4 linked regions of the Struthio camelus genome follow. The protein of the gene in region 1 interacts with the protein of each later gene in a pairwise test. Links are inferred from orthologs where the notes say so. Each region holds a gene or a part of one and is shown on either strand. Other genes may lie near its edges.

Region 1 (7,652 bases):
GAATGATTTTTTCAGAGGCCACTACAACACGTAACTCGGCATGATGTGGTAAAATAAAAAAATGAACAGCAGCCTTTCTTTGGAATCTGCTTCCAAAGGACCTCAGCATTTTAGACCAAAAGTTTTTCTCTTTGAGTCGTACTGTAGTACTACATACTTGCTTAGTCTTCATGAATGCTTAGCTCTCATTTCACTAAATGTTAATTTGCATGAGATACTTGTGGCTTTAAAGAGACAGCATTGGCTCTCTGGGTCTGCCAATCTAATTCCCTTCCATCTGAAAACAATCACAGTCGGAGCTCTGGAGAACATCCTCAACATCCCTATTCTGATAGGGGCTACACTCATTTCTAAGAGAACGCAGAGAAAATAAAGATGTTAGTCACATGCCATTATGTTCACATAAGTGGCACTTCAAGTTAAAGAATACATTCCAAATATGTTCTTGTGCTGATCGTGTTCATTTTTAACTTCCCTGAGGAAAGTGTACCTTAATTAGTCTGCTGTAATCCAAATTAGAATTTCTCATATGTTAGAGCTCCTAAAATACCTTAAATCAACTGCATATGTCTGAAATAAAAATGAAAATAACTGCATTATTGAAAATTATCTGAATACAAGAGGGCTATAAATAGACAGGAGGTGGATTGGACAGTCGGCAGATTCTGAGTTGGAATAAAAACATCGTACTTAAGCCAAAAGCATGGCAACCGATATTTTCTGTTATAAAAATATTTGAGATGAATTTAGTTTTTATGAAAGCTGTCTGAAACTGAAATGGATAGCAGAAATTCTCTGTTTATTTGCAAGCCAGTATTAATACCTGAAGCACAAAGCAAGACACCTTAAGAGCAATGCCAACAAGCCTCTGATTGTATTCAAAAATCCTTTTTTGCCACAGGAGAAAACTGATTGTACGTTCATTCTCTTTCACAGTAACCTCCACCTTGGTAATGCCTGTCACTTGAGCAAAGTGTATGACAGGTCTGTGAAGTGGATTACTACTGTCCACTAGAGGCTGTAATGAGACCAACAATGTCATTTTATGACAAATTGAAGACTTAGACTGTAATGATTGATAATTTTAAGATTATTTTTCACACGCAGTACGTCTCTAATCACTGGATTTCCCTGGGTGCGAATGTTAAAAAAAATCCAACTTCTTATGCCTCGTATTCCCTCATTTTTCATAGTTAACTATTAATTGTATAAAATACGCAGTGTAGATGACACAGTACAACTAGTGCATTGAAAGACAGTTTCTTCTAGACAGTGTGCACCTTCCATGTCAAATTGATTAATGGCTTTTGGTCAAGAGCGCATTCAGCTGGGAGTCATATCACTTTTGGCATGTCACCAGCAGTAAATAAAAATGCTGGAGTCTACGTGTGTTCTTGCGTCCCACTCGCCACTGCAGTATCTGAGCCCCGTCCACACTGCGCTCAACCACGTGACTAGCATCTGTCCTGGATTTCGTGGCTCACTCTCTCCCCTGAGGGCAGGACAGCCGGTAACAGAATAGGTTGTTTTGGAATTTTGCTACTACTTTGGGGTCCACCCCTGTTGCTATATGCCCTTGTCAGAGGGGGCAAGGTGAGGCAGTTTAGGGCAGTTCGGAGCTGCTGTGAGAGCCCGTTTGACGTACCCGGGCTAGCCCTGGAGCAAGACCTCACCTCTTTGCTGCTGAGTTGCCTCCCTCTGCTGTGAGAACCTTCCTGGTGGCAGGTAAATTCAGGTTTATTCTCTGTAGCAAGTGACTCCTTCTCTTGGGGCATAGTCCTGCACCTCTGAGTCAATAGGCCACACTGCCTTAGTACACACTAAGCGACCTTTGCCCCAGCCAGTCACCACAGATCACATTCAAGTGCTGTTTCGCAGCCCCTTGGCCCTCAGCAGCCCTTCTGTATGTTGTGGTATAGAATAGAGAATAGCTGGAGTCCCAGTATAGGCCCTGAATAAAGGAACTGCAAAGGCACAATGACATCTCGTGATATGGTAGTATATCCTCTGGGCCAGGCAATGTTAAGGGAGGCATGATAAGGGGAGTCCCCATCTCTTTTTCGCCTGTTATGCACCCGACATATTCCCAGTCAGAAGAAGGCGAGGAACGGCTTATGAACCTGAGGTGGTTGGCTGGAGTTATGGCATTTCCCAAAGCTACGGTTTTAAGGTTGCCTGCTGGCTCAGGAAGACAATATTGCTTTGATTTCTTACTGACTTACATTTTAGGGGTCTCTTTTCAACTCTGAGGCAGAAACACAGGCAGAGATTTAGGAGCTCAGCGCCTCGTGCGTGGCAAAAAAACGTGGGTCCTGTGGCAAACACCATAGCCGCAGAACGGAGAAATAACACAAGCCTCTTACATGAGCCTGCTGCAGAAGGGAAAGTTGCCCAAAGCTTGCTTCAGCATGAATGTGGCTTCTCTTTCCCGGCGTGTGCCACACCTCTTGGCAAGGTGAGCGAGCGGCTGAGAAGGAAAGATTCCTTTCTCCTGAGGTAACACTCTGTGCAACTGGAATAAAAAAGGTGGCGGACGGGAGACTGCCGCATACTCAGACATGAACCCTGGTGACGGGGTTGCAGCTTCTCCAGGGCTTTCACTTGATTTTCAGTAATCCTCAGTCCCTGTTTCTCTCCCTTGGTTACTTTTGGTAAATCAATGAACCTTGCGTTAGCTGGTTGAAGATAATTTTGCTTTCTGCTTTGCTGCTGGATATGCGCTATCACATGGTGCTGAGTGGCAGGTTTGACCAGACATCTTGGCCTGTTGCTGCTCCTATCCCCAGATCACTCATAAAATGGAAGATGATGTTGGATTTCATAGTGAACCTGAACTAAAGATGTAGAGGCTGCAGTAGTAGAAGATTCTTACGCTTCATAAAGTGAGTCTGTATTCAGTATCTACTCTAAATCAAGAGCGCTGCAGCTTAAAATGTTATTATTACATTCTTTAGCAATTACGGTGAACTAGCACAGTTGTTTATAGAAGGGACGACTTGCTGATCAGCAGAATGACAGAGAGAGTCCTAGGGTATTTTGCATCTAACCTCTAATGCTAGAAATATCTAATGGACACATATATCTACACTAGAATCTGCTCCCTTGGAGTCTGTTGTGGTGTGGGCAAATTGGTACAAGCTGCAATGAGCAGTCTGGTCTGAATGGACATATTGCAGGGAGTCCACATACACTGCTCCCTGGAGCCTTTCCAAGGCTTGTGCATTGGTGCATCTATCGCACAGCCTCCAGCTCGGTGGAGCAGGCATATAATTGCCTTCAGTATTTATGCAACGGTTTTGCAATGTGGTGGTGGCGGGGGGGAGGCTTTCTCCATGCGGCACGTCCCTTCCTGATGCCAAAGCAGAGCACGAGTAGTTGCTTATGGACCCGCTGTCAGGTTGCATGCAAGCCTAACAGCCCTACCATCCTTTGGTTGTATTCTTCCCATTTGTTTCTTCCATTAATTGTTTTAATTTCCTTAAACTGTACCCGTCTTGGTAATATTGTGTTTTGTCTTTTCTTTTCTCCTAAAACTTGGAAGACCAGACTGAGCCAGTCCAGAAAGAGGACATTTACTTTGGTCTCCAGTTTGCATCTGTGTTTGTTGTTTGCCCATCACTGCAGTTTATGAACTACGGAGACCCATGTTGAGAGCAGTAAGGGGCTAACGAGCTGATGCTGGAGCATTGTGGAAGTGTAAACTGCCTTAGCCAAGGGGAGAGTTCGGGAGGGACTCACGGTGGTCTGTGTACAGCTGGGAGAGATGTGAAGGGATCTTGGATGAAATGCGTGCTAAGCATCTGGAGAGCCTTAGTACCCAAACATGCGTGGTTCAGCCCTGACTGTCTTGTAGTTCAGTGATGATATGAGTCAGACTCTCTTTTGGTCTGAATGAAGTAGAAGGTACTTTTTGCAAAGCAACTCAAGTATATGCCAAGGATCTGGATAAATAAAACTAATTCAGAAAACGGGAGTGGGATGCAGGCTCTTGCTCAAAAACACTTTGCAGTTCTCCACAGCGAAATGCAATATGGCATCTTAAATAAAATCACCCCTTTCTGACTCTCACAGAGGCTGCTTCAGAGCATTCCCTGGCTTCCAGCACAGTTTTATTTCCTCCCTTAGAGAGGCAGACCAGCCTTGATTGAGCCGCTGATTTTCATGCATCCCTTAAACCAGCATTCCCTGCCATTTCTGAAGGACAGCATGCTTTGCTAGTCGGCTCTTCTTTCCTTGGTAAGCCATATAGTTTTTTTTTTCCCTTTGGCCTTCCTTCCCCCCTCCCCCCCCCAAATGTATTTCTTCCTGCTTGCAAAGTGCTCGGCGATCCCGAGGAGCAGGCGGTTGTGCACAGCAGCGGCGTGCGCACACGAACCCCGCCGCCGGGAGCCGGCCTGGCCTTTGAGGTGTTAAAAAATAAAAGGGCGGTGGTGGCGGCGCAAGGGGCGACGCGGCGGCCCGCGGGGCGCGCAGCAGCCGCCGCCGCAGCAGCAGCGGCCGCAAAGGGTTAAGGCGGCGGCGGCGCTGCGCGGATGCAATAATCTGTGTGGCTCTGCTGGCCGCCTGCCAAAGCGCTGCCTTGCCTCCTCCTCCTCCTCCTCCTCCTCCTCTCCCTGCTCTCCCCCCCCCCCCCCCCCGTTTGCATGAAGTAGGATCCTTGAGCTGTTGCAGAGGCAGCCAACTGCTCCATATTTGGCTTCTGTTACACATTTACATACTGGAGAGAGAGAGAGAGAGAGAGAGAGAGAGGAGAGGGAGCGAGCTCTGTACCGCAGACATCATTTCTACTACAGTGGTGGAGACATCCCGGACCTGTGTCACTGCAGGGGGAAGGAAAAAAACCAACCAACCAACCAAACAACAACAACAACCACCACCACCTCCCCCCCCCGCCCCGAACAAGCAGCCCCAAGCCCTGTGAGCAGCTAGGAGGACATTAGTGCGCGAGTCTCCCTCTGGCCCCCCCCCCGCCAACCCCACCTCCACTGACACTTTACAGTAAGTGGCTTTTTTCTTCCTCCTCAGCTTTTTTTTTTTTTTGTGCCTTGTTTCCATCCCCCCCCCCTTTCCCTCTCCCCGGCTTCTTCCCTTGTTTAGACTGCGAACCGCCAGCGATTTCCAGCTGGAAAAACACAGGGTTGCGGGGGGGGGGGGGGGGGAGCGCACCGCCCGGGCCCGGGCCCGGGCCCCGGCCGCGGGGGGCCGCGAAATGGCCGAGCGCCGCCGCCGCGGGAGGGGGCGGCCGGGCGGGAAATGTCCTCCGAGGGGAAGGGAAGGAGCCGGGCCGGGGGGCGGGGGGGGGCAGCCCCGCGGCCGGAGTTGCTGGTGAGGCCCTCTCTTCTCCGCCCCCCCCCCCCCGCCGCACCTTCCTCATCCTCCCAACCCCCCCCCCCCCGCCGCGGCGCGGCGCGGCCCGGCCGGGGGTGTCGGTGTCTGCGGGGACGGTGGACATTTTGCGAGCCGCGGCCGCCCCTGGTGCGGCGGCGGCGGCCTCGGGCTGTGTGTGTGTGTGTGTGTGTGTGTGTGTGTGTGTGTGTGTGTGTGTGTGTGTGTGTGTGTGTGTCTGACTGTGCGGGGAGGGGGGTTGTGGTGGTGTGTAGTGGTTGGGGGGGGGGTGAGTGTGCGGCCGTTGGCGGCGGGTGGGGAGGTTGTGTGGCTGTGTAGTGCGTGCGGGCGGGCGGGCCCGGCGGGGCGGGGGCCCGGCCGCCGCCGCCGCACGGCGTCTGTAGTAGGGGCCGGGCGGCTGCCGGAGGGGTGAATGAAGCGGGGGGCGGGCGAGGCGGAGGAGGCGGCGCTGCGGCGGGGCTGTGCCCGGCAGCGGCCCCGCGCCGCCGCCGCTGCCGCACGTAGGGGCCCGGGCCGGCCGGAGGCGCCACCTGGTACTGGCAGCGCGGGGGGAGGGGGGCAGGGGAGAGGGGCGGCCGGGGCCGGGAGGGGGCCGGGTCCCCGCTGGCGGCCGGGGTGCTGCGGGAGCCCCGTCCGGGCGACGCTGTCCCCCCCCCCCGGTTATTATTATATATATTTTTCTGACTTGTTGAGATCTATTTATTTATTTGCCTGAAGCGGCGGAATTTGCCGGCGTGAACGCAGATAAATGACTCCCTCCCTCCCTCCCTCCCTCTCCCCCCACCCCCCAATCCTTGTTTTTAGACGCCTGTAGGTGCTGAAGCCGTAAAATGCGGTTCCTTGAGCATATCGGAGTCTTAATTTAAAGCGTGCTGGAAAACGTTAGCGCCGGCTGTAATAGTAATAGCGGTAATAATCAAATGACAGAATGGGGAGCGATTTACATGTTACTGAAGGGGAGGAATTGCTGAAGAGTAATAATAGAAAAGAAAACAAGTCGGAAGCCCGTTATATAATGCACTATGTAGATAACAGGAACGACGGGCTATTTTTATTTTGTTTACCGTATGCTGTGTAATAGGGACTCCTCCAAGCAGCATCTCTCCCCTGTGAGCCTGAACTCCAGGCAGAATTAGCAGAAATTACAAGGCATTCCTGTTATGCCCACACGAAGGAAGCTAGCTTGGTAAAACGTTGCTCCTTACAGATGTATTTTGTGGACGAATCAGGAATTGTGCAGGTAGGTGACCTTTGCTGGAGATCTTGTCCATTTCATATGGTAAAGAAATTTGTATTTTGTAAGGCAAGTTGCATTTAACCTTTACTGTTCATGGTAATGTATTATTTTATGCGGTAATGGTTACTTTACATGTCAGATGTGGTCAGGCATAGTGAGTTACTTCGCTTACGTGCTGGGAAGTCAAGGACTTTTAATTTCGGTTTCGATTGAAAGCTTTCATTAAAGGAAAATCCAGCCTTCACGTTAATCTATTTCTCTTTGGGTGATGAAGACAGTTCAGCTTTGTAACAGGGATCAAAGGTTGTGAATGAGGGAGAAAAGAAATTGAGACTGGTCGGGGGAAAAAATGCCGCACTGGAGTTGTTGCTGAGGTACGGTGAGAGAACAGCACGATGTAGTTTTTACGTTATTGCCCCTAATTTGTCCGTACAAACGGCCCACTGTTTTACAGGCAGCGGTGCTTTCTGGAGGGCGACTTTACTAGTCGCACGGCTTTTTTACGTAAGGCGGAGGTGGATAGATCCCCTCCGGCTCTCGCCCGTCGCTCCCGCGTAGCTGCGTGCCGGTGGCACAGGTTTCCAGGGCACCTACTCCAGCCCCCGTCGCTCCGGTAATTAGATGAGGCTGCCATGGTAACAGACGGTATTTCTCGTCCGTTCAGGTGTGCGTGCGCGTGTGTGTGTGTGTGTGTGTGTGTGTGTGTGCATGCGCGCGTGCGCCCGCTGTGTGCCCGGGCCACCTCGCGGGGCGTGCGGGTGGTATCGCCCCGTGCAGCCCGGGCGGCCCCTGGCTTTACCCCGCGGGATATCGGAGGATGCCCCTGAGCGTTTCCCTCCTTCGGCCGGAAAATATTCCTTGCGTGCTGTAGTATCAGGCATAGTATATGGTGTGCGTATCGAGTTAGCCAAATCGTCGGTTCCGCTTGTGCCGATTATTAGCGAATTAGCAGAGGTGTGGTACTTCCTTTAAAAATCCTCTTCGTTTATAAAAGCTCGCATAAAAGTTTCTTCAGAGTCGTCCTTTTGTGTTGGCTGGCTGTTTTAACCGCTTGCAGGCTGAAGTGGTT
Region 2 (7,526 bases), on another chromosome or scaffold:
ACGCCTTCCAGCACATGAGCCTTCTCTGCCAAGCCAGCCTGAATGCACAGGCAGGACAGGCAGCATTTGACCATCTAAGTGGAAAACCAGCAGTGTGACAGTAATTTTCCTTTTAAGCCCTCCCACCTGTTTGCTCTTCATCAGTTACCCTCCAAGACGTTCAGAGACTTTCCAGATCACACCTGCCGACGCCACATTTCTCCTTCTGCAGATGAAGATATATTATTTATTTTCCTCCAGCTCTTTCACTGTTTTCCTTTGGCATTTAAGGTAATTGTCATAAATGATGGTTGCTGGTTATTTTGCGTTTAATGTATTTCTAAATTCCAGCCCAGCAACCTCCACATGTTTCCTTTTTCCAGACCTTCCATCTTTATTCCTTCAACTGTTTAACTCTACCTTCTGCCTCCCAAGTCCAGGTATACTTTCCTGATTCTGACTGTTAAAAGCTTTTTGCAAGGCAACATGCAAATTAAGACTATTTCTAACCCAAAATAGTTCAATCCGGTCGCATTGTAGTCTTAGATTGTGTAACACATGGGGGATCTGACTTCGAAGAGTTTTGCAGAACCACCCAGGTCTGAAGGGAGAAGTATTTCAGAGCTTGAGGATACTTGTGCAGGGCAGCCTGCAGCTATAGGCAGCGCAAACACTGCGTATTTATTTTGCAACTCACTTTTGCAGTGAGATTTCCATTATTCTGGCAACGTTAGGACCAGATTTGACTTTGCCCTTCTCTAATGTAATTGCTTTCAGTGGGGAACTCCTGCTTCTTCCCAGACAGCTGAAAGCATCTCTCAGTTCTCTCTCATCTCTGAGGCAATTAACACGCTTTTCTGATGTTTCACTTTTCCCTGAATGTTTAACTTAAGGCATATTCTCTCTTGATAACCTCCCGCCTTTCAGAACAAAGGATTTATTGCCCTCGACTCCTCTTCAGCCCTCTGGGAGCTCTAGCCAACTGGCAATTCCTTCTTGTGCTTTGCTTCTAGTTCTTGCAGCTTGCCATCCAGTAAGGACCAACTTTCCTCCATGGTCTTTCCATGGCAGTTTTCAATCTTCCAAGATGTGCAGGCACACCCACTCTCCTCAGTTGTCCAGATCTCTGAACTCTCTAAAATCTGCTTCTCTAGAGGCTGCGCACACACATTCTCCACCATTTCTTTCGGCAGGTCTCTGGCAGTCTCGGCCCCCGGCACCTGAGGCAGATGACCTGCAACCAGCAGCTCTCCGACCATCTTGAGTTACCGTGCAGGTCTCCACGCAGCGCTTCCCCAGAGAGCTCACCACCCAGCATGCACATCTGCAGGCCCGCAAGGTTCAGTGCTTTCAAACTCCCTTGCTACGCAGTCCTCTCACAGATATTCGGTGCAGCTCTCTTCTAGTCTAGACGTCTTATTTCTCCAGCCACAGCAGGTCACGACTATCCACTTTGATCCCCAGTCACCAACAGCTCGGTAAATGTTTTGGTGGAAACCCTGCCTCCTTCTCAACCCTCCCAACTGCCTGAATATTTTGTAACCATCCATGTATTGAATCCCCTGCAAAACCTATAGAAACCACATTTTATTCATGGCTCAAAATCACAGCTGCCGTGATTTGATGACAGTCCCAGTCCTTAGTTTCCCAGAGGGACTCTTCAATGCTGTCCCACTGTATTCCTCCCACACAAGCCACTTCTTCTGCCTGTGCTCAATAAGTACACACACACTAACACCAACCGCTTTAAGCGTCTTGCCAGTGAGCTGGCCAACTCTGGTTAACGTGCTCTTCCCCCCAAAAAAGGGTGAGCTGCTCAAGCAGCTGCCCGCCCTCCCTCTCCCCCCCCCCACCACAGTGGTCCCAGCACGGGGCGGCGCCATGGCCTGGTGCCCCGCTCACCTGATTGAACTCTTCGTCGGCGTAGATATCAATCAGATCCACTCCCTCGGACATATTTCCAGAGACAGGACCGAGAACCCAGGAGGGGACCGGGGCGAGGCAGGAAGACCAAAGGTGCACTGCAGCGGGCGACGGAGGGGAGGGGGATCACCTTAGCGCTGGAAACCTCCTGCGCGCCCCCCCCCCCCCGCATCCCCTTGCCCCACCGCCACTACCAATAGGGTTTTAGGCTTTTTCTCCCGGCAGGCACCAGCCGCGCCGTGCCCAGGGCCAACACCAACTCCTCCTCTCCTAGAGAAGCCCGTGCCCGGGGACAGCACACCCCCTAGCCACGGGTCGCCCCTGGGGGGCCAGCTCATCCCAACCCCCTAGCCAAGATCCAGTCCCTGGGGCCAACGTCACCCCAATCCCCCAAATCAAGACCAAGCCCCGGGGGCAACATCACCCTATTTCCTTCATCCTGAGGGCAGCGTGACCCCCTCCCCCAAGCCCAGATTCGTCCCCTGGGGCCATCTCACCCCCCCCTTGTTTCAACACCGAGAGTGATAAGCACACCAGCCCCCCCACCCTACATCCCCAATAATCCCCCCCCAAAACCCCCGCTCTGGACCCATCCCCGGGAAGCGGATCGTACCCCCCCCGGTGGGGGCACCCAACGCCCGCCCCCCAGCCCGGACCCCTCTCCGCGGACAGCACCCCCCCCCCCCGGGGGAGGGAGGGGGCCACCACCTCCTCCCGGCCCCGGACTAACCCCGTCCCGGCGGACAGTGACCCGCTCCCCCGAAACACCCCCCGGGGAGCAGTCCTCAAACCGCCCCGGGACAGCGCTACCGCCCCCCGGCCCCCCGCCCCGCCCCTGCCCCAACGGCGGGGGGAGGGGAAGGAAGCGGCCGGTCGCGCCCTACCTCCCCTCCCGTCCCCGGCGGCGGCGGCGGCGGCGGCGGCGGCGGCGGCCGGGCCCCCCCCCGCCTCGGCCCTGACGCGGCCCCGCCCCGCCCCGCCCGTTACCGCGCGCGGCCCCGCCTGGCGAGCAGGCCCCAGCGCGCGCGCGCGCCGCCCGCGCTCACCACTGCCACTGCCACTGCCTCCGCCGCCGCCGCCGCCGCCGCCGCCGCCGCCGCGCCACCGCCGCCGCCCCGCCCCTTCCGGCGGCGGCCCCGCCCCTTCCGGCCCTCCCGCCCGGCCGCCCCCCCCCGTAGCTCGCGTCGACGCGCGCCGCCGGGCCATAGAGCTGGGCTGCCCCGCTTCGCAGAGCGGCTCCGCGGGGCGGCGGCGGCCAGGCGGGATGCTGAGAGCCATGGCCGTGGCCAGGGTGACGGTGACCTGGGGGTGGCCTGGGGCAGGGCTGGGCTGGGCTTGGGAGGTGAGGGGCGGTGACCTTGTGGGAGCAGCTGGGGGGCAGCTGAGAGGGATGGAGCCAGAGGGATCGAGGAGGGTCCGGGGCCAGCAGGGCCTGGGGAACCTGGGGGGGCCGTGTCTGGGCTGGGGGGGCAGCAGGGTCTGAGGAGCCGTGTCTGGGCTGGGGGGCCTGGGGGGGCCGTGTCTGGGCTGGGGGGGGGACAGCAGGGCCTGGGGGGCTGTGTCTGGGCTGAGGGGGCAGCAGGGTCTGAGGAGCCGTGTCTGGGCTGGGGGGCCTGGGGGGGCCGTGTCTGGGCTGAGGGGGGCAGCAGGGTCTGAGGAGCTGTGTCTGGGCTGGGGGGGGCAGCAGGGCCCGGGGGGCCGTGTCTGGGTTGGGGGGGGACAGCAGGGCCCGGGGGGCCGTGTCTGGGCTGGGGGGGGACAGCAGGGCCCGGGGGGCCATGTCTGGGCTGGGGGGGGGACAGCAGGGCCTGGGGGGCTGTGTCTGGGCTGAGGGGGCAGCAGGGTCTGAGGAGCCGTGTCTGGGCTGGGGGGCCTGGGGGGGCTGTGTCTGGGCTGGGGGGGGCAGCAGGGTCTGAGGAGCCGTGTCTGGGCTGGGGGGCCTGGGGGGGCCGTGTCTGGGCTGGGGGGGCAGCAGGGTCTGAGGAGCCATGTCTGGGCTGGGGGGCCTGGGGGGCCGTGTCTGGGCTGGGGGGGCAACAGGGTCTGAGGAGCCGTGTCTGGGCTGGGGGGCCTGGGGGGGCTGTGTCTGGGCTGGGGGGGCAGCAAGGTCTGAGGGGCCGTGTCTGGGCTGCGGGGGGCAGCAGGGTCTGAGGAGCTGTGTCTGGGCTGGGGGGCCTGGGGGGGGGCCTTGTCTGGGCTGGGGGGGGCAGCAGGGTCTGAGGAGCTGTGTCTGGGCTGGGGGGGGCAGCAGGGCCCGGGGGGCCGTGTCTGGGTTGGGGGGGGACAGCAGGGCCCGGGGGGCCGTGTCTGGGTTGGGGGGGGGACAGCAGGGCCCGGGGGGCCGTGTCTGGGCTGGGGGGGCAGCAGGGTCTGAGGAGCCATGTCTGGGCTGGGGGGCCTGGGGGGCTGTGTCTGGGCTGGGGGGGCAGCAGGGTCTGAGGAGCTGTGTCTGGGCTGGGGGGCCTGGGGGGGCTGTGTCTGGGCTGGGGGGGCAGCAAGGTCTGAGGAGCTGTGTCTGGGCTGGGGGGCCTGGGGGGGCCGTGTCTGGGCTGAGGGGGGCAGCAGGGTCTGAGGAGCCATGTCTGGGCTGGGGGGCCTGGGGGGGCCGTGTCTGGGCTGCGGGGGGCAGCAGGGTCTGAGGAGCTGTGTCTGGGCTGGGGGGCCTGGGGGGGGGCCTTGTCTGGGCTGGGGGGGGCAGCAGGGCCCGGGGGGCCGTGTCTGGGCTGGGGGGCGACAGCAGGGCCCGGGGGGCCGTGTCTGGGCTGGGGGGGGGACAGCAGGGCCTGGGGGGCTGTGTCTGGGCTGAGGGGGCAGCAGGGTCTGAGGAGCCGTGTCTGGGCTGGGGGGGCCTGGGGGGGCTGTGTCTGGGCTGGGGGGGGCAGCAGGGTCTGAGGAGCCGTGTCTGGGCTGGGGGGCCTGGGGGGGCCGTGTCTGGGCTGGGGGGGCAGCAGGGTCTGAGGAGCCATGTCTGGGCTGGGGGGCCTGGGGGGCTGTGTCTGGGCTGGGGGGGCAGCAGGGTCTGAGGAGCCGTGTCTGGGCTGGGGGGCCTGGGGGGGCTGTGTCTGGGCTGGGGGGGCAGCAGGGTCTGAGGAGCTGTGTCTGGGCTGGGGGGCCCGGGGGGCCGTGTCTGGGCTGCGGGGGGCAGCAGGGTCTGAGGAGCCATGTCTGGGCTGGGGGGCCTGGGGGGGCCGTGTCTGGGCTGCGGGGGGCAGCAGGGTCTGAGGAGCTGTGTCTGGGCTGGGGGGCCTGGGGGGGGGCCTTGTCTGGGCTGGGGGGGGCAGCAGGGTCTGAGGAGCTGTGTCTGGGCTGGGGGGGGGCAGCAGGGCCCGGGGGGCCGTGTCTGGGTTGGGGGGGGACAGCAGGGCCCGGGGGGCCGTGTCTGGGCTGGGGGGGGACAGCAGGGCCCGGGGGGCCGTGTCTGGGCTGGGGGGGGACAGCAGGGCCCGGGGGGCCGTGTCTGGGCTGGGGGGGCAGCAGGGCCCGGGGGGCTGTGCCTGGGTTGGGGGGGGACAGCAGGGTCTGAGGAGCTGTGTCTGGGCTGGAGGGTCTGGGGGGGCTTTGTCAGCGCTGGGGGGGGGGACAGCAGGGCCTGGGGAGCCGTGTCTGGGCTGGGGGGGGCAGCAGGGCCTGGGGAGCTGTGTCTGGGTTGGGGGGGCAGCAGGGCTTGGGGGGGCCGTGTCTGGCCTGGGGGGCCTGGGGGTGCCGTGCCTGGGCTGAGGGGGCAGCAGGTCCTGGGGGGGCCTTGTCTGGGCTGGGGAGTCTCCCTGACTCCACTGCATGAGGGCAGACAGGCCTGAAGTCTGCTGCACGTCAGGGTATGACGCTTGCGCTGTCTGTGTCCCCTCCAGCAGCTCTGCTCGCTGTCCGGACGGGTGCTCTGCCGGCCTGTTTTGGGGCACGTGTCTGTGCAGTGCGGCTATCGCGGAGACTCCCCCACGGACTCGGGGAAGGACATCCTAGAGATCCCCTTACCACCCTGGCAGGAGCGCCCCGATGAGCCGCTGGAGACCAAGCGAGCCCGACTGCTGTATGAGAGCAGGAAGAGGGGCATGCTGGAGAACTGCATTCTGCTCAGGTGAGGTGCCGGGTGCTTGTCCTCCCACCGGAGCTGCAGCACGCACGCCCTGAGCCCCGTTCCCTCCCAGCTTTTCAGCAAGCCTCTTGCAGCTTCATCTGCCTCCCCTGCGTCAGGACGTCTGGGTTGCTATGCCCTGACAGTGCTCGTTTGTCCGCTGCAGATGGGAGTAGGCAGGGATGGAGCATAGTTTGCAGAAGAGACAGTGCCAACACTAGCCACACCAGAGAGATCAGGGAGGAAGTGAGAAAGGCTGGCCAAGAGGTAGCTGCCGTATAGTTCAGCTCCCTAAAGAAGTTACAGGTTTTTAATTAACAGGGAAGAGCTGGAGGTGCACTAGTGCACAGCCATAATCTAAAACCTAATGAGATGCAACATTGCTAAGGGGATGGAAAGCAAGTATCTGAGGCTCTGCTTGTGAGCAGTCAGGTGAACCGCTGTGAGAGCATCACCTGTACAGGTCTGCGGTGCAGTGATTAGCACTGCTGCAGGGTAGGATGGGACAGAACTAGAGGCCGCCTGAGGCAGGAGATGTCTAGAGGAAGCTCCTCCTAGCGGTAGATCGAGTCAAATTCCTTTGGGAAGGATGTATGCTAGATCTGGGATATAGGAATAGGGCAGGGGAGGGGAGTGTCTCGCCTTCTGTGTCACGAGTACCAAAGGAGCAGTGTGAGATTGAAGGCAGTGATAAAAGGAATTTTTTCCCGTGCTCTCCGAGGCTGGAGGTAGCTCTTTGAGCTCAGAACCTCACAGAAAGTGAGCACCGCTGAAAGCTTCTGGGTTCCAGCAGGGGTTTAGTGAAGTTCATTAGCCAGTTCAGCAGGGCTAAGGCCTCTTGGACTGCAGGACTAAAGAAGTGGTTAATGGCTGGAGAGCAGGCTAGGACTTAAGGCAGAAGACAGGTCACCTTGGATTCAGCTCCTCTATGTCTTCTTGCAGCATTTAGAGAGCTGGGCACCAGGCAGTGTCAGGATCAGCGTGCCAGCCCGGCTCTTCCTGCAGTCACCCTTGCTCATGTTCATATATCTTCTCTCCTCCAGCCTCTTTGCAAAGGAGAACCTGAATCGCATGAGTGAACGGCAGCTGAACCTCTATGACCGGCTCATCAATGAGCCCAGCAATGACTGGGACATTTACTACTGGGCAATAGGTACAGTGCAGCCGTCTGTTGCCCTCCTGGCTCTGACTGCAATCTCCTGCCCTGATTTGAGGTTCAGGGCAAGAGACGAGGCCAGGATCGCTCTGGGGTGCAAAACATTGGGCTTGGCATGGCTGGCGTCATGCTGAATGCTTTGGGAGAGGGTAGAGCCAACCATTGTCGTGCTGCCCCTTTTTTTACTGCAGAAGCGAAACCCACGCCAGCTGTGTTTGAGAACGACGTCATGGCCATGCTGAAGGAGTTTGCCAAGAACAAGAACAGGGAGCAGAGGCTGCGGCAGCCAGATCTGGAGTATCTCTTTGAGTCACCCCGCTGATGGCAGGGCTGCCTTCTGCCTCCTCATCTCTTGGAGCTGTGCAGGGCCACCAGGGTCTCTGTGGCAACCTCAGT
Region 3 (6,899 bases), about 61 Mb from region 1:
GCATGACTGAAAGAAACAGAACTGGAAGGGAAACATCAGTTAAAGTGATGCAAGGCACAGAATTATGAAATGTCATCTGGTTGGTACAGGATAAGAAACTGTATCACTTTGGGTGGCTTTCATCTCCACAGGAAAATAAACAAATGTTTATGCAGCAAAGTGGTTTAGATGCTTGAGAAGGTGCAAAGTTAGAAGCACCAAAAAAAAAAAAAAAGAGAGAGAGAGAGGGAACAAAAAGTGGAATAAATGAGTAGTCAGCAACATAATAAAGATACTGAAAACAGAAGTAATCACATCCTTTTAGTGGCTTGAAGAAAGAAGCATCTTTAATAGCTAATTTGCCAATATCAGAAACCTAAATAATAAAAAAAAAATTGAATTCTTATGGGCATATATTCAACCAAGTTGATATTACTGACACATAGAGGGGAGATACACATGACCAGAATGCCAAAAACCAATATTGCTGCCTATTTAGGAAATATCAAATGAACAAAAGAAAAAGGGGAAACGGTACTACACCGAACATGGCATCGCTTGTTTACAAGTCACTGACAACTCAGGGCAAACCATCTTGGACTTCTATGGATCAGTGGCCTCACATATAAAGCACAAGAAGGAGAGGGAATACTGACCGTTAATTTACGGAAGAGATCAGAACGCCCAGGGCCTCATGCACCCCGCTTAACAACGTTAAGAACCGCCCCCACCATCACAACCCCAAAACTGTTATCACATAGGACTGAAATTTAAGGGGAGAGGAATCAGTCTGTCAATTTTGAAAGAGGCTCAGGCTTTCAGAAAATTAGAGAAGATAATTTCATAAAATTAAAATGCTGCATCTGACACAGGGGAATTCTACATTAGACCTCAGTTTGACAGGTAAAGAACAAATGAACACCAAAACAAAGACGAGCCATAGCTTAGCTACAAGTGAGCATGATTTGATTACACTTACTGTGTGCAAACAGAATGAAAAACCAGCTTGTAAGTACTTGGTGCTTTAAAAGGACCAGCTTCATATAGCTGGAAAAAAATTCTGAACTCAAGCTAAAAGAGAGAATCTGACTTGATAAGACTGATAATTTTTCAAATATGACCTCTCTAAATTCCAAAGAACTCATCTCCCAAACAAAACGGCCGCAAAGGTTAAACATAACTAGACAAAAAATTGAATCAAACTGTAACCCTCTCTTTCACACTACACGTAACAAATGGGAGAAAGGGGAGAACTAAGTGGCAAAGTTCAGAGGCAGTAATAAGCTTAAGTCGAAAGATACACATGGTTAAATGAAGCAAAAGATGCAAGGAAACCGTCTTTTCAGTACATTAGGAACAAAGAGAAACCCCAGACATAGTACAAAGTCCATTATTTGTTAGTGATGCTTCAGTACCGAGAAATCCACAAAAGGCAGAGATGTTCAACAAACAGCTTTAGAAGTCTCCAACGACCTATTCATAGGCAGTGATAAATATTCTCTATTCCAACAGTAACTAAGAACGGTAAGTGACAGCAGTCAAGGCTAGACGCCAGAGCACTTGATGAGGCTGAAGCACGCACAGGTCATCAAGGGTGTTGTCAGAAAGGACAGAATCCAGGAAAACTCCTAAGAACCATTAAGAGAGTAGGAAAGCAGGCCTTGCAAGGAAGAGCGCTGCCTCAAACCGTTATGCTTAACAAAGGCAAGTTTAGGACAATCGCAGCAGACGCCTATGCTAACCAAAAGGGGAGAGCAGAGGGCTTGTCAGTCTAGCAAAGACAGAGCAAGTGCCAGGACCTGAAAGTTAACGGCAGATCGTTTCCGCTATAAAACATAGCATCTATTTCTCATCAGCTGAGAGGAATTTGTGGAACCTCACAGCTGAAACGCGCTGCCTCCCTGACCACGTCTCAACGCAGTGACGGGAGGGTTTCCTGACGGTGCGTGCTCGTTCAAAGAGGTCTTTGCTTAGGGCAGCCCTACAGTTTGCGTCGTACGGGTTGTTTTAAGCAGCTGGAACGGGCTCTTTTCTGTCTCTACGCGAGCCCCAAAGCTTCTTTTTTTTTTTTTTTTTTTTTTTTTTTTGCGTGCGAAATCCTTCTGAACAAAACCAAACAAGACGACTGCTGGTCAAAACCAACAGGGCAGCTTCTAAAAATTCCCGTCTCTAACTTTAACAAAACATCAGTGTCCATGTCACAAGTTCCATAACGAAATCCACTTCCATACGCACTTTTGACGTTCCCAACACGCTCTCTGCTCATCTCTATTTAAAAAAAACAAAACAAAACAAAAAAACAACCGAGCGGCACCTCTTCCAGCTGGCAGACCCATCCGCACCCCGGCCTTTCCGCTTTCACCGGCGCCCGGTGCAAAGCGAGCCCCTTGGTCCCTCGGCTATTTAAACCCCCAAGAAAAGCAAAGCGGCTCAAAACATGAAGCACGGGGAAAGCAGGAAAGCAAAAAATGAAGTACCTGCCCGGGAGCGCTCGCTGTTGCGGATATCCCGAGTCCTCCCGGGGATCCAGGGCCGCCTCCGTCGCGCCGTTTACCGAAGTGGCTCCCGATCGCCGGCGCTGCGCATCCTGCGGCGGGGGAGAGCGGAGCGTCAGGCCGCGCCCGGCGCCTCCGCGCCGCCTTCCCCAAAACTTCGCCCGCGGAGCCGCCGCGGGCAGCGCAACGGGCGGGCGGGCGGCGGCGGCGGTGGGGCGGCGGCCGCCCCCGCGGGGCGCACCTGGCCCGCGCCCGCCGGCTGCTGCTGCGGCGGCGGCGGCGGCGGCGGGCGGGAGGGCGCCGCCTGCCGCGGGGCGCCCGCTGGCCTCCCGCCGCCCGCTCGCCCCCGCCGGAGGGGCCGGCCCCTACCTGGCGGCGCCGCGCTGCCTCCTCGCCCCCGCCGCCGGCGCCTCCGCCGCCCGCCGGCCGCCTCCCCTCACGGCCGCGCCGCCATCTTGCGTTTCACAAACTACTGCACTTCTTTGGCGGCGGGGGGGCGGCGAGCGAGCCGCGAACTCCCAGCGCCGCCGCCGCCGGCCGCCCGGGCCCTCGCCTCGCCTCGCCGCGGCCCGCGGCGCCCACTCGCATCCTCCCGGCGCCTCGCTGCCCCCGGGCTGCGCGGGGAGGCCGGGCAGCGGCGGCCGGAGCCTCAGCCTCCCTCACAGGGAGCGGGGGCGGAGCCGCTCCGCCGCCCCGCCCGTGAGGCGGCCGGCGGGCACCCGCCGCAGGCCCCGGCCCGGGGAGCCCCCGCGGCCCTGCCCGGGCACCTGCGGCGCGGCCCGCGGCTCCCCGCGGCGGGCCGGGGCAAGCGGCTCGGCCCCGGGCTGCGCCTCGGGCACGGGAGAAGGCAGAAGAAGCCCTGGAGGCGACAGGGAAGAAACCGTTAACGAGGCGGCGTTGGATCAGCAGCAGCTTCCACCAACTCCTCTGAACCGAGATCTCCGCATACATAGGAGGGATGTGAATCTGATATGTACCTATATGTGTACGTGCGTGTGTCTGTGTACACGTGCATGTGATTTTTTAAAGCTAGCATCGGCTTTAACCTCACAGCTTTTCCTTCTCTGCAAATCTGAGATTGCGTTAGCGACGGCCAGTCTGTCACCAAAGCAGGGAGTTAGCGTACGGCCCAGCACCCCCGCGCCGGGCTCGAACAAACTGGCACAGAATTAAAGGTTGGTTTTTTTTTTTTGGGGGGGGGGGGGGAAGGGAACTATAAAACCAAATAACGTGGGTTTTTTTATACCTCCTATCAGAACTTGGGGAAAGAGGACCTCTTCAGTTAATACGCCCCTCAACGGGTTAGTCAGGCTTTAGTTTAACTCCTGCCACACGCACTTTTTGAAACGTTCTGTTTAACATACTAATCTTAAGCAGTAGTTTGCAATTTGGGGTCACACTAAAATTTAAGTTTCCTCACAGTAGGAAGAAAAAAAAAAAGCAATAGCATCACACCAACCTTTAAGATTTACACATCTATACATTTTTAAAACAATATAGGTACTGTTTCCTGCTGAGGCTAGCAGTACATAAAAGTTGAACCAAAACTCTGAAGTTTTGAGCAGAACACTGTTTCTGATTCTTCGTTTGCCATGCTTTTTTTTTTTTTTTTTAAAAAGTTCAAGTAAGAAATTTCCTAGTTACCATACAATGAGCTAGCAGCGACTCCCTGGTGAAAGGTGCATTTTGGATGTCAGGCTTTCAACTTCACCTTGAAGTGGTAAAAAAGGATTTTTTTGCTTCAATAATTTTTTCCCTCTCCTCTCCCTGGAGGATGAAAGCTTCCTGTTGTCCACTGAACGTGTCCTCTACTGTGGCTTTCAGATTCAGCATCAGCATACAGCGTTTTTTCGCTTACATACACATGCACTCTTGAAATCTGGAATTTTTATTTTCCAGGTACAGGTGAATCCTGGACAACACTTGCATCCGTAACATACCCAAGGAAACAACTGAACTAAGTTATATTGTAGGTAAATACAGGCAAATCATATGCCAGGTAAGTTGCATGTTTTATGACTGAAGTAGATGTAATTGTTAAGATAAGGAAGTAGTGTACTATGCATAGAAGGACACATGTCTCAGTGGAGGCAGAAGTTTATTAGACCGGCCTAAGAAGGTGAGCTGCTGCTTGCTTGCTCTAGGATGCTAGCTAGCATCCCAAAACTTTACCCTGCAGAACTCAGCTATAGGAGAAGGGCGATCGTATAGTTAAAGCAAAAAAGGAGGAGAGAAGGACAAAGAGACAGTGTCTACTCTTTCAAGCTTTCCAGAAGCTATTTCCAGTCTTCCTTCTCATAATTTCTCAGCCTCACCCCCATTATACAGGATTTTAAAAAAAGTAATCTTGGAGAATAAAGATCAGCAAACCATACAGACCAATCCTGCCAAAAATCTATGACAGCCACCAACTAAGTTGGAGATCAAGCTAAGGCAAGATGAGATGGATTCCTTCATCCCTCAATATACATTTTCTTCCTCTCATGTTTGCTTCTGCCATATAACTGATTACCCCATTCTTGGTTTAACTGTTCATATAAAGTACTTGCACTTAAAATACCAGTGTAAGTCTTAAGACTTACAAGTAAGGTTTTTAATGCTCAAATTATTCTACAATTAAAACTGACAAACTCAAATGATGATTCACTTTTTAATAATATACATCCAAACACTACCGACAGAAGAAAAATTCTGCATAGTACACAAATGTTTGGGCACACATTGAAGAGAAAAAGATACGAAAACTAGAAAACTTACATTCAGAGATTGCACAGTTAGGCATTCAGTATCACTAGGTGTTATGTCATATCACATACACAACAGCAACATGATACACATACTTTATTGTACTTGTTATATATTTTCATTTTCAAAAAAATTTAGACCATCTTATTCTCAACTGCTTTTAAAAATAACTGTCAAATTAACTTAGAATTTTTTTTCTTCTGGATTGAAGAGGTATCCATCTTCAATAAAGGGTATTGCTTTAGTATTATTTAAATATATTTATCAGCAATAATGTATTTAGTTTTAGGTAATACACAAACATAATACTCTCCAGAAGACCAGAAAACTATTTACAATTTAATTCCACTGTAAGCCACCTACACGTGCAATTAACAATTTATATTAAAATTCTATTCCGTGGTATCAAGATTGTCAGTATTACAAGCAAGACTAAACTTTACTTTAGAATCTGTAGAATCTTGCTTTCTGGGTTTTTTTTTTTTTTTTTTTTTTTTTGGACAGTTAAGCAAAATATGTCGTAGCAAAAATACTTACGTTTGTGGAAACAATGTTCCTCCCACACACTTTCTTTAGGTTGTTAATTTTATGAAAGCCACTTGAGGTGCTATCAGGTGATTAAAAAAATTACATCTGAACCAGATTAAGAGGTTTCTAAAGGATTTACTTTTCATATATCAGAATAAGATTTGTTTTAAAGCCTTTATGTAATATACAATGGAACATACAGCACCACAGATGACTTCAGAAAAATATACTCTAACAAGTTGGAAGAAGATGATAAAAGTGTATCAAGTTTTCCAATGTTTTATTTTAAAAGAGGCACTTAGAGTACCTGGAAGATGCTCAAATCTACAAAGTTCCAAAGGCACTGACAAACATATGTCACAAAAAAAGACGACAAAACTTTAAGGCAACGCATATTGGAAAAGAAAGCTGAACACACTGATCTCAACAGATCATGTATAATCCTTCTGTCCAGATTTACTATCATACAATAATGTATAGGACAAAAATATCAAATAAAAGCAGTTAAAGGACTTTATTTGAGCCTTTTTAATATACTTTAAGATATATTTGTTTTATATATGTATGTATACATAATATATATATTTAGAAGTACTTTTTACTGAATTATACACAGGTAACAGAACAGCATGCAATGAAAATAAAACATTACGGAGCAGAAATCAAGTATTCTGAAGATCACATTACTGAGCACAACGGAAGGTTGCAATTTCTTTCTTCATTTCCTAATAAAAAAAAAAAGAAAACAAACTAGGAATAAGCGTGAACAAAAGTTTAAGAACCCTGCTGTTTATTTCTTCATACGAAGTTAAAGGATCTGTAAATACATACAACTGTTGGTGATATTTAGCAAGAACACGTGCTGAAGCCGTCACAATGTTTTTATATTCTCTGTAGCTTCCGAGGCATTGCTGCGTGTCCAAAATAGAATAGGATACAGAGCCTGTATCAACAGTTGTTTCAACAATTAGGAAGGCGATCCTTCCTGAGAAGTCACAACTGAAAGCTGAAAAAGTTACTCTGTGCACGCTGAATAATTAATTTACGGTAGCTACTCGCACAGCACATTCAGAATAGGAGAGACTGTGTTTAAAGCTAAAGAAAGAAGTAGAAAACAAAGAAATCCAGTCACCTTTAATTTGAGCATTACGA
Region 4 (7,482 bases), on another chromosome or scaffold:
AGCCATTCTCGCAAGGCCATGAAGCATGTGTTATGGGTTATGTTAAACATGAAAAGTACAAAGCCAGCGTTGTCCCCATACAGCAAACGCGATCCCGTTGACTTTATTGGAGATACAGATCCAAATCTCGTCCACAGCCCTGCAGAAAGAATCACTTATATGCTGTCTTGAAGCATACTGTTATGCTATAATGCGATGCAAAGTAGCATACTGGCATTTTTCATTCCCAGTATAACTGCTTGCAGTGAAAGGACAGGGAATTTCTATCTCATGACAGGAAGCTTCTGATCTGAAATTCGGCTTGTACTGTGAAACAACTGGGAATGCATCACAGCCAAATTCTTCACTGCCCATGCATTTATTTAGATAATAGGATATGGCTGGGAGGGCATATGGTGCCAAAGTGAGGCAGATTTGTTCATGAAAATTTGAACTTCATTTTTATATCTACTGCCATATTGGTAGGGCCAGGAATTCCTCATGCGACCTTCCACTAAATACATCACTTCTTTGAGGCAAATTTACTGGGTTTCTGGAAGACTTTTCCTACGTGCCAGAACACCTTTTTCCTCTTGATTCCTGACTGGAACGGATGGGAGGGTAGGAAAGAGAGCTGTGGTCCCATAACGTGCCTAGTCCACCTACCTCTGATTTGCTGCTATGGAAGAAAAATAAGCTGGTAGGAGCTGCTCCACCATAATGAACCACGAGCAGGAAAGGGATGATGCCCCGACCCCACATGTTCTTAGTTTAATGTTCCCCCTTCTCAGGGACATTATAGATGGCTATACCTTTTACATACTGACGTATAGTACTGCGTAGTACTACAAGCGCTCTCAGAAGTCTACATTGCTGGAAGAACATCTCTCAGAGATGCAGGAACCAAGACTTAACACAAAGATAGACATGTCGTTATAGAGCTCCCTGCCTGAAATACAGGATCAAGAGCTGTGGGTGAAGCAGCAGCAGCAGCACTCCCATATAAAAAGTTATGCTAGGGTGGAGGACACTGCCTGGGCTGAGCATCTCACAGGGAAATGTCTTCTGACTGCTCCAGCAGGAGCTGCCCATCATCATGCCCACACAAACCTGGTCTGCCCTGACTGAAAATATTTTTTTTAGAAGGATGTTAAGACCCCAGGACAAACCCTATTAACATGGTCCTTGGTCCTTAGCCATCTAAAACTGTCTCTCTACGTTTGGATGGCTATTGGATTTAGATGCTGTGTGGGTGCTGTGTATAAAAGAACTGGGGAGAAGGGGGATGCATTAATAACAACTGCCTCACCCCTCTCCCTCTTTTTCTCCATGGTGGCTACTGAAAGAAAGATGAACCCCATTGTGTAACACCAGATACAAGAAAAAAAATACGATTAGGTGATGTATTCCAATTAAAAATCAGCTTGTTTCCAAGAGTATTGCAACAGCCATAGACAAAAAAGTGTTTAGGATGATTTTATGAGGAGACTTGAGTGTCGATTGGAATAACAAAGCTAAAGAAAACTTAATAATGAATCAAAGTATTTAAAGAGCAAAGGTATGTTCCATTTACATGCTATCTGTATGTTTATGGTATCTGACTGTCTATAAAGTAAAATATATGATCACAAATGCTCAAGTTTTTCTGTATTTGTTTAATGCATTATCTTCTTTTATGCAAGGGCAAGGGCACAACTGGTACAAAGTCTCTTCATCTGTTGACAAGAGAACAGTAAAAGCACAGCAGTATTAAGAGTGTGCTTCTCTCTGGCTTCTTACTTTTGTCACAAATATCACCTAGTAGTAAAATCAAAAAATTGAGGGGCAGCGTGCGCTCATGCGTACCTTCTGAAATGCTTTACACGGAACTATTTTACGCATTTCTGTGCAGTCAGTGTCTCTCTCTGCATGACTCCTACACAGAGCAACAGCAGAGAAGGAGCATTATAAAAAGAGAAAAAATATTTCGGTAAACAAAAAAAATTGACAAGAAAACTAGGGGTCATCTGTAGAAGGATATGGCATCTAGTCACTTATGAAACAAAATTAGAAGTCTTTCCAAATTGCTGTTGTGCTTTTAGGCACTATGAAAAATCTTTCCAAGAGTTACTAAAGTTTTTAAGAAGCAAACATTTTGTACAATATAAACTATCCTTTAAATCACGTTACAAAAATTAAGCCTTGAAATTAAATGTTATGACAACACATTGCTACAAAAGTAACACTGAAAGATCAGAGTTGGCCAGTTTGAGGTGCAATATGGCACTGAAGAGGGAGAAGCAGCTGACTTCCTACAAAGTACTGGAGATCAGTCACCGATACAGAAACCAGAATTTGCAGATGGGCCTGCTCACATTAAAATATCTGAGATCCAGGGTCATGTACTGCTCAGTACCCAGGGATAAACAGATTATCAGATTTGGAGTCTGGAAAAACAGGTTTAGAAAAAACATTTTGTTTTAATAGCTGTTTTTCTAGCCTCCTTTGTCGTGCTTCCTAGGAGTTCTCCTTAATGAATAGCTTGTTCTTGCAGGATTCAGGCTAATTGGCAATGCCCTAATTTTTTCTTTTCTCTTGCTGAGTTTTATCATTGCTGTGGATTTTATTATTTATGGTGGGATTTAGGTTTATTAAAAGGTGTTGGGAAACGTCCTGTGGCTTGGTCACGGGGTCCCCTAGAGCAGAAGTTCTCTGGATGCTTCTGGGCTATATGTCACTGCATGACTTCCCGAAACTGGGGCTCAGACTCAGTACAGGTGGTCCTCTTCAGTCCTCCGTTTCTAAAACGTATTCACAGAACTCAGATGTATTGATCGTTAAATAAAAAACAGAGCAAATGAAGACATGAAGATTTGTGACATTCAACTCAATGTTAAGGTGACAAAAATAATGTTACAGGATTTTAAAAATCAAAGAAGCTATCCATATCCATTTATTTGCATGTGCAACTGCTGTGATTATTGCACAACATGTAATACTGTGGAGAGTGACAGAGCTGAAGTTAATAAAAGAGAAAACCCATTGCCTTGAATTATGCAATTTGCTATTTCAGCCAGCTATTAATGTTTATTGCATTTCTGTACAAATTGATTCATCCTTCCTCTTTAAGGCAATTAAACAAATTAGTGCCATTTTTATTCAGCCTGATTCACTAAGTGAAATTGTAAGTTTCAATTTAATTAGTAAATTGAAGACTGAGGGAAAGGAGCTCCATTTTGCCTTAAAAATTTGACAGCAGGAGTTCATTTCCAGAACTCAGCTCAGTACTCTTTAACTACGGTCATGAAAATGAAGCAATGTTGCCACCTACAGACTACCTGAAGCTATCAACACGGTGAACAAAACGGTAACTTGCTCTGAAACCGGAGGATAGAAACAGCTGGTGAGACTGAACATACAGTCTTCCAAATTAATATGCAGAGGCAATTTTTAATCAACAGAAACGCTGCATATGTTAATATTATATCATTACAAGCTCCGGATGATTTAAAATAATGGTTTTTGAGGAACAAAATACTCAAGAAATATAACTCTGCCCTCATTTTTGAAGAATCGTCAATGTAGTCTTCAAATACAATTTTATGTCCAATATATCACCTAAAATTCTTTACAAAATATGTTACAAAATATTTTTTAAACCAGTAAGTGCAACTTTTCCACCCTGAAGTTTGAGACATGCGTATCATAGCTGAGGGAAAAACTGTGGTCCCTGAAATTTCAAATGACCAGGGGGGGAAAAAATTCACCGAATCTCACAGGAATGCTTTCAGGAATCTTGTTCGCCGTATTTTCAACGTCCTGATTTTCTCACAGAAACACTGCCGCTTCAGCATGGCAGCGCCTCGCTTTTCCATGAGTCCAACGAGAAATCAAAAATCGGCTCGGACTCACGCGCTGACGCTCCCGGGCCCACGACTCAGGACTCAGGCTCAGGACTACTCTGACAAGCGGCTGTAAAACTTAGGACGGGGCATATTCCGGCAGGCACAGGGTGCTGGGCGCGACGCCACTGACTCACGCACCGGCGGGCAGGGACGCTGCTGACGGGAGGCCGCGCTCCTCACAGCGCTCCTCCGCTGTTGCGCACCACGTTTCTCCGCCCAGCCTTTCACACGACCGAGCGTGGGCTCTCAGGCGTCTCTTAAAAACAAGGGGGGAAACGGCTGCGCGGTCGGGACCGCACCGAGCAGCGGAGACGGAGTGGGGGGGATGGGGGCGGCCGAGGAATAACGGCCACCACAGGCGCCAACGGCCGCCGCAAGCACCGCCTCAAGATGGCGCCCCCGCCCCGACGTCACAGCCCGCCAACGGCGCCCCCGCCCCTCCGCCCCTCGTGGGCGGGGCCGCGGCGCTCGGCCTCCTGCAGCCCCGCCCTCGCGAGGCCCCCGCCGCGCCGGGGTGTCCGCAGAGCGCCTGCCGCCTGCCCGCCCCGCTCCGCCCACCCGCCGCCGGCGCGGCGCGTCCTCCTTGGCGGCGTCAGGCGCGGCGGGGGCAGCCGCGCGGGGGCCTTGGCGGCGGGGGCGGGCGGGCGGTGTCTCTCAGCTGAGGAGGGGGCGGGCGCCGCCGCCGCCGCCGCCGCCGCCGCCGCCGCCGCCGCCGCCGCCGCCGACATGCCGCTGTTTGCTGCTAGCCCCAACGCCTTCGAGCAGGACGTGGGTGAGCCAGCGGGGCCGCGGGGGGCGCGGGCGGAGGCCGGCCGGGCCTCGTCGCCTCTCGTCTCCGCGGCGGCGGTGGGGCTGTGCTGTGCGGGCCAGGCCGCGGCCGGCCACCCACCCCACCCCCCCCGCGCGGGGCGGCCGTTAACGGCTGGGCCCTCAGCGGCGGTTACTGGCAGCCGCGCGGCGAAACTGAAGGGGAAGGGGGGGAGAAAAACCAAGCCTGCAGCTTTCTGGCGAGGTTAATGCTCTGCGTGTTCGTAGTGTGTTTAGCTTGTCCCTTCTGGGCATTAAAGGTGAGAAATCAACTCTGTTAATGGCAGCAGGATCGGCTTTTTCTGCCCGTTTCGGTGTCTGCTACTGAGGCATCAGCTGGGAACTGATGTGGCAGCACCGAGTTGAGCCGGAGCTGCCATTTCTTGCCGTTACAAAACCCCGAGGCGGCTGGGCTGGGCTGGGGTTGGTGCCGCTGACAGGGCGAGGGTGCTGACTCAGCGGCTTTTTGTTTGACCCCTCTGCTCGGTCTCGAGCATCGCACCTGTTCTGTGTGGTTCTTCTTAAAATAATGCCAGTTCTGAATCTGCGGCACAGCAAAAAACAGTTGAAGTAAGCTGGATGCCAGAGTCAGGTTTACATTTGTTGATGCCCTGGTATTTTAGGTAAGAGAAGAATTCAGCATTCCTGGGATTTCTGTCAAAACTGGAATATATACTCATGGAAAACATTGATGTCTGTGCTCACGTTACAACACTATCTCTTTTCTGTGTAGAATAAGTCGCTCTGTTTTCTTAACGTGTCTTCAAAATTTGCATAATAAAAGCATTCCCTTTCTTTTTCTTTTCACAAACCGTCGTGAGATTGTAATGTTGACCTATGATTAAAATAAGGTAGAAACTTGTCAGACCAGCTGTATATGGGCCAGTTATTTCAAGTATCTTGCAAAGCTTTATCTGTGTTCCAGCCAGAGGTATCTTTTAAATGGCTCTAACTGATGTATTTGCAAAGTAAAGACTCTTTGAACTGAGGACTCTCTTATTTGTGCAGAATTTCTTGGCAAACTTAAAGGCTTCAAGGACTTTCAAATATTATAGTACTTCAAAAGTGACAGACTCTTCACTTACAATTTCTTTAAATATACCTTATTTAAACTTGGTGAAACAGTGTGCACTTACTACAGTTAAGCAAGTGCAGCAGAGTAAGAACTTCTGGCTGGTGAGCTGAGTCATATATGAAGGTGAAGGGATAATGAATTTGGGAGTTTGGCAAGTTGAATCAGCTCAGCAAAAGCGACAAAAATGATAGTGGAAAAGAGAGGCAGGACTCCTCTGCAAAGCTTGATGGGAAGGACAGCAAGCAATTAGGTTGATTCGGTTGTCCCTTCAGACTGTACATCTAATGCTTCCGTTTTTTTGGAACACCTTTAGAAAAACGTGGATAAACAGACTTTTGCTTTGTCACAGCTGGTTTTGCTTCCTTGATTCTGGGTCCTTATGTTTGCTTTTCAGCAGAGCTGCATAGAGTCTTAGTTCCTTGGCATCTGCTCTGGCAGCTTTGTAAACAGTTGTGGTGTCACAGGATTAACCTATGGAATAGCATTTTAGAGGAGCTAGATTTCTTCCCCCTTTTTTTTTTTTTCTTTTTTTCTCTCCTGTTGAGAGGATACTCCGAAACTTCAGTTCTTAAAGGGTTAGAAGCTTTTAAATTTCCTGTCTAGATTTTTTCATAGTTAGTTCTTATGCGCTTGCTGTTTCCCCACTGTTGTCCTCTCTTGTAAATAACCTTCATCTCTTAAGTAGTTTCTCTCTTGATAGAGAGCTAGCCTATTCCCTTTTCTCTTTTGTTAGTCTTCTTTCTTAAGATCGTTGACACCGCCAAGGGAGTAGGGAGCACTTTCCCTGCTAATTTGAACGTTGTTATCCAGACGTGTACCATAGATTGTTCACATCTTGTGTAATAGCATTTAATGCTTCCTTGTACTTTGATGAAATGTTTACCTTGCACTTTTCACTCTAGTGTTGTATTTACCTTTTCTGTGGCTGCTTTGTGTTGGTGGCCCATGTCCTCTTGTATTAGATCCTGGCGTACGAGTCGTTCTCCTGCCCTGTTTTCCATACTCTGTTTCCAGCTGTTCAGTACTCAGTTTCTAGGAGAATCTTTTATTGGCCTTGACTGTGTGCGAGTTTATATTTTCTCCTACTAAATGCTATCTTTTTCCATCTAGTTCAGTCCTCAAGGGCTTCCCTTTCTCCTTACGTGATGTTTTAGTCTTTCCTTGTATGGCCAATACCTTCCAACTTTCTGCTAGATTTATTACAAGACCCTTACTCTTGCTGTCCGTGTCAGCAAGGGCTTTTAATATTGATTTCAAGACCAATTTTGAGGCATTTAGGACGTAAACTCTCCCTGCCATCACTAGAGTGCTTTATGTTAAGAGTTGTCTGTCTTATATTGTGGAATGATCTAAGAACTGTAGCTAGTTACTTACGCATGGCATCCTATGAAATGTTTTGCTGCAATCTGACTAGACCAACTGATGCTTAAATTAGCCTTTGATAAGATATCCTCACGTAGAAAAATAACTGATGTCTGTTACAGTTCACCATGTCTGTCCTTCTCAGTCTGTAGTAATTCTTGCTTTCAGCATTTGGTCTGAAGTCTTGCAAATGTTTGAAGACAAGCTGTAATTGTTTTCTGTTGTTGCTTGGGTCTGTCTTTTTTCACCTTCTTTAAACATAGGGACCACATTTTCCAGTCTTCAGTCTGTGGCTCTGTCTTAACTTATTACAAGTCTTTACTTCTGAATCTGCAATGTTGGGTCATTTCTCTCTTGTCCCTGTGATTATTACTG

The links.
Region 2: the proteins of ATXN1 (region 1) and CPSF7 interact in binary tests that used the Homo sapiens proteins (3 or more experiments, as listed by UniProt). The link is inferred for Struthio camelus from reciprocal best matches to the Homo sapiens genes ATXN1 and CPSF7.
Region 3: the proteins of ATXN1 (region 1) and ZHX1 interact in binary tests that used the Homo sapiens proteins (3 or more experiments, as listed by UniProt). The link is inferred for Struthio camelus from reciprocal best matches to the Homo sapiens genes ATXN1 and ZHX1.
Region 4: the proteins of ATXN1 (region 1) and STAM2 interact in binary tests that used the Homo sapiens proteins (3 or more experiments, as listed by UniProt). The link is inferred for Struthio camelus from reciprocal best matches to the Homo sapiens genes ATXN1 and STAM2.

Annotation. Positions count from the first base shown.
Region 1 is NC_090943.1:99,619,955-99,627,606, reverse strand, and holds the start of ATXN1 (ataxin-1), read left to right. Parts: upstream 1-4,650; 5' UTR 4,651-4,998; intron 4,999-5,784; exon of another isoform or gene 5,785-5,879; intron 5,880-6,427; exon of another isoform or gene 6,428-6,586; intron 6,587-6,647; exon of another isoform or gene 6,648-6,962; intron 6,963-7,029; exon of another isoform or gene 7,030-7,247; intron 7,248-7,652. UniProt on the Homo sapiens protein: Chromatin-binding factor that repress Notch signaling in the absence of Notch intracellular domain by acting as a CBF1 corepressor. Binds to the HEY promoter and might assist, along with NCOR2, RBPJ-mediated repression. Binds RNA in vitro.
Region 2 is NC_090946.1:4,000,289-4,007,814, forward strand, and holds the start of CPSF7 (cleavage and polyadenylation specificity factor subunit 7), read right to left. Parts: upstream 3,006-7,526; 5' UTR 2,949-3,005; intron 2,821-2,948; exon of another isoform or gene 2,787-2,820; intron 2,001-2,786; 5' UTR 1,936-2,000; coding exon 1,882-1,935; intron 1-1,881. Other genes in the region: SDHAF2 (succinate dehydrogenase assembly factor 2, mitochondrial), read left to right, coding at 3,167-3,199, 5,751-5,977, 7,018-7,127, 7,322-7,452.
Region 3 is NC_090943.1:160,143,053-160,149,951, forward strand, and holds the start of ZHX1 (zinc fingers and homeoboxes protein 1), read right to left. Parts: upstream 3,020-6,899; 5' UTR 2,844-3,019; intron 2,567-2,843; 5' UTR 2,457-2,566; intron 1-2,456. Other genes in the region: ATAD2 (ATPase family AAA domain-containing protein 2), read right to left, coding at 6,619-6,690. UniProt on the Homo sapiens protein: Acts as a transcriptional repressor. Increases DNMT3B-mediated repressive transcriptional activity when DNMT3B is tethered to DNA. May link molecule between DNMT3B and other co-repressor proteins.
Region 4 is NC_090947.1:44,678,649-44,686,130, reverse strand, and holds the start of STAM2 (signal transducing adapter molecule 2), read left to right. Parts: upstream 1-4,478; 5' UTR 4,479-4,589; coding exon 4,590-4,635; intron 4,636-4,660; exon of another isoform or gene 4,661-4,930; intron 4,931-7,482.